2 linked regions of the Drosophila melanogaster genome follow. The protein of the gene in region 2 purifies or fractionates together with the protein of the main gene of each other region. This does not show direct contact. Each region holds a gene or a part of one and is shown on either strand. Other genes may lie near its edges.

The links.
Region 1: the proteins of Mettl5 (region 2) and Trmt112 purify together in Drosophila melanogaster (affinity purification with western blotting; one study listed by BioGRID). This does not show direct contact.

The regions. Positions count from the first base shown.
Region 1 is NT_037436.4:21,215,477-21,219,027, forward strand, and holds Trmt112 (tRNA methyltransferase subunit 11-2), read right to left. Parts: upstream 1,364-3,551; 5' UTR 1,246-1,363; coding exon 1,168-1,245; intron 1,103-1,167; coding exon 1,001-1,102; intron 848-1,000; coding exon 653-847; 3' UTR 519-652; downstream 1-518. Other genes in the region: CG10508 (uncharacterized protein), read left to right, coding at 1-25, 100-307; Ilk (integrin linked kinase), read left to right, coding at 1,588-1,676, 2,091-2,256, 2,315-2,860, 2,923-3,468.
Region 2 is NT_037436.4:19,261,917-19,267,421, reverse strand, and holds Mettl5 (methyltransferase like 5), read right to left. Parts: upstream 3,657-5,505; 5' UTR 3,583-3,656; coding exon of another isoform or gene 3,517-3,582; 5' UTR 3,442-3,516; coding exon of another isoform or gene 3,397-3,441; 5' UTR 3,326-3,396; exon of another isoform or gene 3,238-3,325; intron 3,096-3,237; 5' UTR 2,926-3,095; coding exon of another isoform or gene 2,800-2,925; intron 2,742-2,799; coding exon of another isoform or gene 2,478-2,741; 5' UTR 2,467-2,477; coding exon 1,979-2,466; intron 1,362-1,978; exon of another isoform or gene 1,344-1,361; coding exon of another isoform or gene 1,065-1,343; exon of another isoform or gene 829-1,064; coding exon 675-828; 3' UTR 586-674; downstream 1-585. Other genes in the region: Aldh7A1 (aldehyde dehydrogenase 7 family member A1), read left to right, coding at 1-585; CG45081 (uncharacterized protein), read right to left, coding at 1,065-1,343; CG42374 (uncharacterized protein), read right to left, coding at 2,478-2,741, 2,800-2,925; Max, read left to right, coding at 3,397-3,441, 3,517-3,582, 3,898-4,005, 4,215-4,338, 4,404-4,546; Bet1 (blocked early in transport 1), read right to left, coding at 5,319-5,505. UniProt on the Drosophila melanogaster protein: Catalytic subunit of a heterodimer with Trmt112, which specifically methylates the 6th position of adenine in 18S rRNA.

The sequences.
Region 1 (3,551 bases), 2.0 Mb from region 2:
AGGGTGCAGATGAAAATCTTTTGCTGTAAGTAGTTCAACTTAATGTCGAAGTAATAAAAACAAAGACTCATCTATGAATATAATTAAAATTATTTTCAGAGCCGATTATGTCACCTGGAATGGACCCAACACGAAGCTTCTTCAAAAGCAGATCACTCAAGGACCTAATGCTAGTCTTCTCACAGATCGCACCTATAAGCCAAGGGGTGGGAAATCGGAACTCTGCAAAGGACCCCAGTCCGGATTGGCGAAGGGCAGCATCTACGCCCAAGGCAGCAACAAGAGCGCCAACATCAAATGCAACTAGGCGGGAGTATCTCATCTGGAACCTCCCCCAGAGTGCCAAAGAAGTGAAGATGAATCTTAGTAGCCAAGCACCACCCTCCACATGTTCAGACTTACGATTTATATATGTCGTAGTGTTTTTTGCTCTTATCCTTAAACACCTACCAAATACCACACGAGTACGTAGACTCAACAAAAAAAAAAAAAAAAAAAAAAAAAAACGAAGTCACATTCCATCCAAGCTCCAATTGTTTTTAGTAACTCGTAAATAAACAAACTTTAAAACTAACAAACTTATTTAATATTAATGCGCGTCTGGAGAAAGGGGATTATGGGGATTATGGTACAAAAAGCACATGGGTGTAATCTAGACCTCGTCCTCGTTAAGGAGCATGTTTGGTATACCATCGCTGATGGGAAACACACGACCTGTCTCCGGGCACTCCAGTTGACCCTCGAGCACGTCGATCTCGAAGAGCAGATGGTGAAGCTTCTGCAAAAGCAGTTCATTCTCCACAATGTTTTCAGGCTGAACGGCAGGAATGTCTTCTGTGAGTTCCGCCTAAAAAACAAATTCCAATTATTAACGAATATAAAAAATAACAGGTTTTAATAGTTTAAAACTGATTAAAAATATTTGAAACCAGTAAATTTGAAATCAGTAACACTATTTAGAACCATTCTATGGTTCTTTTAGAACCATTCTATCACTTACCACCTGAGCAGCTCCATAGACCGCTGACCAGTCCAGCTTGGGAAGGATTCTCTCCACAAAAGTTGGATTAAATTCGCTCTCCACCACTTCCTTTTTGTTAATCTAAATGCAAAAACAAATAGACCGTGAAACAATCAATAGCCAGGACTTGGGACACCGGAACTCACCGTCAGTTTCAGGGGAAATCCCACTTTGACGCCCTTGATGGCCACGGAGGTCAAGAAGTTGTATGTGCTGAGTTTCATTTTCGGGCTTGTAATGGTTTAATTAATACAAAGAGATGAGGTAAACAACAATGTTTTTAAATAATAGTTGCGGTGCACGTTGTATTCCTTCTTCTTCTTGCTTTAAACATTCACAATTGGTGTATGTCATCGATACCACGATACACACTTGTCGATGTTTTGCAGCAGTTGGCAACGCGAGCAGTGTGTTAAATATTTAAAACGTCCACACTGCACAAATTTTAATTGGAATTCTCACAACTGTCGCATTTTAAGCGTTTAAATCTGTTTCTAGATGTAAATTAGGTTGGAAAACCTATAATATCAGTGACTGCGAGCGGAATAAAGGAGTGAGGAGTAAAAATGGAGGACATATTCCACTGGTGCCGCGAGGGCAACTCGATTCAAGTGCGCCTCTGGTTGGATGAAACGGAGCACGACAACAATTTGGGGTAAATCCAATAGAGGCAACTAACTCCATCACTTTCTAGTTGCTTTATAGTGCACTTAGAAAGTTAAGCCCTCAAGTAGCAACCCCCTCTACCAGGAACGTTTACTTAGTCATCGCCTAAATACGCCCAAGATTTCGAGGGTCTTTCAAGTCTAAGTGACGTCATGATTTATTCTTGTGTTGTGTAAACAGACGAATCAAATATATAAGTATACGTATGTTCATATTTGCCTGTGTGCATATCGCGAGCATAAAACCCGCTTGCCATGTTTATATTGTTCTTTACTTATAATTAGTCTTATAATCCTTTAAAAAGGACCATACCTAACTCTAAGAGCATAAGTATATAAGGTCTATAATGCTCAAATTCCACCATAATTAAAATAAATAAAACAAATAAATTCGTACACTTTAGAGACGACCATGGCTTCAGCCCGTTGCATTGGGTGGCTAAAGAGGGCCACGCCAAGCTTGTGGAGACTCTGTTGCAGCGCGGTTCGCGTGTGAACGCCACCAATATGGGCGACGACATCCCACTCCATTTAGCGGCAGCTCATGGCCACCGCGACGTGGTCCAGATGGTGAGATAAAACAGAAACCAGCTAGGTAACTTATTTAAGAACTTATCTGCCTCTACAGTTGATAAAAGAGCGCAGCGATGTGAATGCGGTAAACGAGCATGGAAACACCCCCCTGCACTACGCCTGTTTTTGGGGCTATGACATGATCTGCGAGGATCTGCTTAATGCGGGAGCCCAGGTGGGAATCGCAAACAAGGACGGGCACACACCTCTTGAAAAGGCCAAACCCAGTCTGGCCAAGAGGCTTCAGGATCTTGTAGAAAAGAGCGGCAGAGAGGTTAAGGTTATCAGCTTCAAGGAACAAAGCTGGCAGGGATTGAAGACGAGATCCCGGGATGCTACTTTGTCCCGTTTCAAGGGAATCAGTATGGGAGACCTAGACCTGCATACCAAGCTGTCGGTGACGCCATCAGGAGAAACTTGGCGCGGACGCTGGCAAAAGAACGATGTGGTAGCTAAGATCCTGGCCGTGCGTCAGTGCACGCCTCGTATATCGCGAGATTTTAACGAGGAGTTTCCCAAGCTCCGCATCTTTTCGCACCCTAACATTTTGCCTATTATTGGAGCATGCAATTCGCCACCCAATCTGGTGACAATTAGTCAGGTGCGTTGAATTTAAATAACTTCAGAAATGACCGTATAAGGTAACCATTCTATTTTCTTTAGTTTATGCCACGTTCTTCGCTGTTTAGCCTGCTGCATGGAGCAACTGGCGTCGTGGTGGACACCAGCCAGGCGGTAAGCTTTGCCTTGGATGTTGCGAGAGGAATGGCTTTCCTGCACTCGCTGGAGCGCATTATTCCAACATATCACCTGAACAGTCATCACGTGATGATCGACGATGATCTGACGGCGAGAATCAACATGGGCGATGCCAAATTCTCTTTCCAAGAGAAGGGACGCATCTATCAACCGGCTTGGATGTCGCCGGAAACATTGCAGCGCAAGCAGGCGGATCGAAACTGGGAGGCCTGTGACATGTGGAGCTTTGCTATTCTTATTTGGGAGCTGACTACGCGCGAGGTACCCTTCGCCGAGTGGTCGCCCATGGAGTGCGGCATGAAAATTGCGTTGGAAGGTCTGCGGGTCAAGATTCCGCCAGGCACATCGACGCACATGGCCAAGCTGATTTCAATCTGCATGAACGAGGATCCCGGCAAGCGGCCCAAGTTCGACATGGTGGTTCCCATTCTGGAGAAGATGCGCCGCTGAAGGAGAGGGGCAAATTCAATAAATGCCAAGCCAAAATGTGCCTTGAGAAACCTTAGATTTGCCAACTAATTGTAATTACTACT
Region 2 (5,505 bases):
CTGGTTGGTAAATATAAGCAGCTAATTTCCAAGATTGGACACCAGCTCGAAGCTCAAACTCTGGTGGGTCCCGTGCACACGCAACAAAACGTGGAGAACTACAAGGCGGCCATCGCGGAAGCGAAATCCTTAGGAGGAACGGTGGCCTTCGGAGGTAATGTCATCCAGCGGGATGGTTTTTACGTAGAGCCCACAGTGATCACTGGATTGCCGCACGATGCCAGCGTTGTCCATCGCGAAACCTTTGCACCAATTGTGTACATCCTCAAAGCCAAAAACGTGGACCAGGCCATCGAATGGAACAATGAGGTGGAACAGGGCTTATCCTCTGCCATTTTCACGGAGAACATCGGGCAGGCGTTCAAGTGGATTGGAGCCAAGGGTTCCGATTGCGGTATAGTTAACATCAACACCACCACCAACGGCGCCGAGATTGGTGGAGCTTTCGGAGGCGAAAAAGCCACTGGAGGAGGTCGCGAGTCCGGATCCGATGCCTGGAAGCAGTATTGCAAGCGGGCCACCATTACAGTCAATCACTCCGGAGAATTGGCCTGCGCCCAGGGTGTTGTCTTCAATGTGGAGTAGAAAACACATACGATCAATTTTAATGTGCTACAATTTACAATACTATTACATATAATGTCCAAAACTAAATGCAACTGATATAATTCTTCCTATTCCGTGCCGATTTCAAAGCGCCAGAAGTCCACCTCAATATCCTTCGACTTCTGCTTGTGAAACTTGTAGCTGGCGTCGATGTTGTACCGGAGTTCGGCGACCACTGAGCCGCGGGCGCCCCATTCCAGTGCCTTTTTCTGAATGTACGACCTGCGAACAATTAAAATCGATATTTAAATTGGCTTTGATGTACTATTCCACAGTTGTTTAGGCTTGGCTATTCTTCCATAAAAAACAGGAAGGGGTCGAATAATAAGATACCCTTTTAATTAAAGAACTCATCGTTTTAATATGAGTAGCATATATATTTTAAAATATTTAATTTCCATAATTTCTCACTAAAATCTAAACTATTGATGGAACGTGCTGCATCTTATCCACATACTTTATGTGTAAAGCAGCTGCAGGCAGTTGGGACCGCTGCGGCAGCAACCACCCCCGCAGACAGGAACCACTGCATCTCTGGGAATGCGGCGGCAAAGGCTGGGCGGACCGCGGTAGTCTCTTCGGAAGCACAGTCTCTCGCACACTGTCCCGCCAGCGGACACTCGAATGGGGGTGAGACGGCATTGGCCGCTGCCCAGGATTTGCGCATCAGTGGGCATGGGGGCCAGAAGAATCGCCAGCACCACAGTGATGATTAGAAGGCTACGTGAGAGGATCATCTTGCTGCTGACTTCTAGTTGCTATCTGTAACTTGTTGGTGTTTCTGCGGCGTTTTATAGTTGTGAGCAGCGCTCTTAACAAAACAACAACAAAAGCAGAAACAGCGGTAAGGAAGCACATTTACCGAAAAGCGGGTACAATTGTATCTCTTGTTTACTGTGCCAATAACAAAAGATTGCGCATCTGTTTATACCAGCAGATATTCTTAAAGTATAAATCTGCATATGTACATTCATATGCCGAATATTGAGTATCAATATATTTTAAAATATATACCTATATATAGACCAGTAAGCATACTACTTGAGTATCTGTTTAACCAAGAGATCTACACTATTAAACAAGAGAGAATGGTATAACCAAGATTTCGAATATCAGATACGCCGCTCATCTAGAGGGATTGCTAGAGAGGAATTCCAAATTTTGTTTAGATATGGATAGAAATTGTAAAGGAAATAAGATAAGTTATATCAAAAGATTTTTTCAAAACGTTGGTTATACACGGCTGGTAATCCTAATTAAAAATATACTTTGTAAAGCGGAAATCGCTTCCCTCTACCTGTTACATTCTTTGCAAGAAAACTTAAGTTTTCCTCTACGAATATCGATTATAATCAATTTTATACAGACTTACCGTGTTGACGTCTTGTGTAGGGAGTAAACTGCTCTGTTGGCCAACCGTAGGGCCACCTCCAGAAACCGCATGTCCATGCCGGCATTGTGTTTCGTGCCGAATGGGGGATTCATCAGCACCGTGTCAAAGGACTTCTCCCACTTGCTGCCGATCAGCTGCAGCACATCCGCCCGCACGCAGTCAACATTGGGTAGCTCCATCTCCACCACATTGCCCCTAAAGGTGTCCACGGCATCGCCGTCCAGTTCGAAGCCCACCGTGAGCTGGGCGCCCAGCAGAGTGGAAGCAATGCTGAGCATTCCGCAGCCGCAGCCCAAATCTCCCACCAGCTTTCCCTCGATGTCCTCGTGCTGCGACTGCATGTGATGAGCCATGCACGCGGCTATGTGCGGCGGAGTGGGGTACTGTTCCAACAGGATCTTGGGCTGCTCGAAACCGTCAACGCCCTGCAGGTACTCCTCCAGTTTCCTCAGCTTCAACCGGGCCATTGTGGATCCGGCTATTTGCTGATACTGTGGCTGGGCGGAGCGTTCGGAGTAGTGGGCGTGGTCGCAGGCGACGGCAGCGGCTCCAGACGAGGCAGCACGGGTATAAAGCTATTTCCAAAATACGAATCCTGAGGTATAAAGAAGCCCAAAGTCGTAGAGCTCGTTGGATTAAATGCAGAGCGGGCGGTGGATGTGGCATTGGTGGCAATGCCCACGCCCGCCTGGAAGTCTGGATTCACTGTCGTCGGCTGTCCCAGCAACTGGGGTGCGGGCATCTACGATAGAAGACCAGGTAAACACATTTTCCGATCGGCATGTTCCCAACGAACTCACCTGGTTCGGCGGACTCAGACCAAGGTTTATGATCCCGCCCGCGAGCAACTGCTTCTTCGTCTGGATCTCTTCGAGTATCTTGCGGTTCGTCTCGGCTTGCTGGGCACTTGTGGTGGGAAAAGCCATCAAATAAACTAGTAAAAGTCTGAACTATATCAAAAACTTCTTGTAGACTGCTGCTCCTGCCGCTGCCTTTGGCATTTTGCGAGCAGTGTGGTCACACTGGCGAGTACTGTAGTGTGGCGGAAATAGTAGCGGTATTCGAACTGAACCAAATGTGCGAATAAACAAAAAATCTGCAACAAACAAGAGTGTTAAGCGAATATTGAATTTGTGCTTAATATATATATAATTTGTATTTAATACAAATCAAATATTAATAATATTGGTGACCTTTTGGTGCCACTTAAGTTTGAAGTATTATTAGCATTCCTCTATTTGGTCACTCTGCAAGTCTTACAACGTGAGCAGACAACAACAAAATTACATGTTTATTTGGAATAATCACAAAAAACAAAAAACTTACCAACTTAGTGGAATAATCTTAGGAAATATCTATTAATTTGCGCGCAATCCGTGCAAAACAAGTGAAGCAACATGAGTATGAGCGACGACGACCGCGACATAGACATCGAAAGTGACGTAAGCAAGGCGTAGAGGAAAATACTGATACGTGTGTTTAATATTGATTTTAATGCCAAATTAACGACTTTTTAGGAGGACGGGGACTCGGACACTGGCTTGGGATCCTCGCGACACACAAACACCGCCAATTTCACCCAGGTGACTATCCATCATGCATAAACTGAGTGGGAAAAAGCGACTGCGCACATTGCCTTTTGTTGATAAACAGAACGCACACGTGTTGTTGTTGCTGTTACAGAATCGTGATTACGATACAGCAGAGTTCACAGCAATAGGATTCGTAATCGAAAATAATCTTAGAGGGACTGAATATATTATATATTACTATTTACTAACTTATCTTTCTGTTCATATTGCTTTGAGACCATTTTGTTCCATTTTTGTTATTATTTCCATACTCTGCTGTATTTACGATGGAATTTCCTATATGCTAATTTTAATGTTTGTTTCAAGGCCGAAAAGCGGGCGCACCACAACGCTTTGGAGCGAAGGCGGCGCGATCACATCAAGGAGAGCTTCACCAACCTGCGTGAGGCGGTGCCCACACTCAAGGGCGAAAAGGTAATCCAGAAGAGCAACAGGTGACACAGCCGGGCTCATTTTCTGCCAAGAAAATCCCATAAGTCCATACCAGTTCGTTTTACAATAAACTACATTATTGCTTGTCAAATTAAGCAAATCGCATAAAATATATTAAAAAAATCCACACCCTGTGTGATGAAGCTAATAAGAAGTAGTAATAAGTTAATAATACATATCTTTTGTTACAGGCGAGTCGAGCTCAAATCCTGAAAAAGACCACCGAATGCATACAGACGATGAGGCGGAAGATCAGTGAAAACCAGAAAGACATCGAAGAGATCAAGAGGCAAAACAACATAATAGCTAAGCAGAGTGAGCAACTAACTACTACAGGTTATTAATGAACTTCCTGCTAAGATACTTTATATACTTTCCAGTACAAGCACTGGAGAGTTCAAATGGGGATCAGTTCAGCGAATTTCTCAGCGACGAGGAAGTGGGCAGCGAGGAGGCCGACGACGAAGACCTCGACCAGGACTTCAGTAGACGCAATAAAAAGATGAAGACCTTCCACGCATAGCCGCTGATCCAATCCAAAGTGCTGCTTACAGGCGTGTTCCGGCTTCCGTTTTCACCGACATTCTGAATTCTTACGTGGATTTAGTTCAACTTTGAGTTGTGTTATACGAAAGCAATAGCCCTCGAAAAGTTGTGAAGGAAACGGTTCCAAATTCGAATTAAAGTGAAAATTAAAATTATGTGGAAATGAGAACAGTAACAAGTCCGATAATCATAATCATCATTAGCTGTAAGCCCAAAATGTAACCCACCCAATCGACCTTAATTTGTATGCGTGCGTCTTTTCTACTTTCAACAAATTGTCACTCTGTGCGCAAAGAATAAAGTAAACTAGTAAGTACATATTTTTAGAAAAAAACAGGGGCTTCTTGTTGATGAATTCTATTATGGAAATTGGAAAATATAACGGACCAATTGAGTAACATGAGTGCTGCTTTTGAAGAAGTTTATAAATGATAAAAGGATTGACATTTTATGCGATTAGGGCTAAATAAAATCAGCAATTTTTGCAAGTAATTTGATCACTTGATACTGGAACCTTCCCTTATTTATATCTGGAATCTCCTTTTGCTTATTACTCGAGAACTATAAAGAACGAGCTGAAAAAACTTTAACGTACGTATCTGTCTTTCTAATATTGGTTTGAACTTAAGAAATATATTTAACTTTATGGTTTTAAGCCAAAAGTGAACCGCATTCCGAACCAAATACAACCTTCGACTACACTAAACCATACAAATATGTGGGTATATATTTTATAAAATTACCAACAACTACTTAAACTTTAGGGTTATCCAGAGGATTAAGAACACGACGAGGATGAAGAGGAACATGTAGCACATTTGGCGAGCACCACCGCCCTGTTTGGCCAGTCGCACCACCCGCGTCATCGCGTTGCCCAGAAATCCACTCGTCCGGTCCATGTCGTCGTCGATGCCGCGCAGCAGCTTGTCCTGGTAG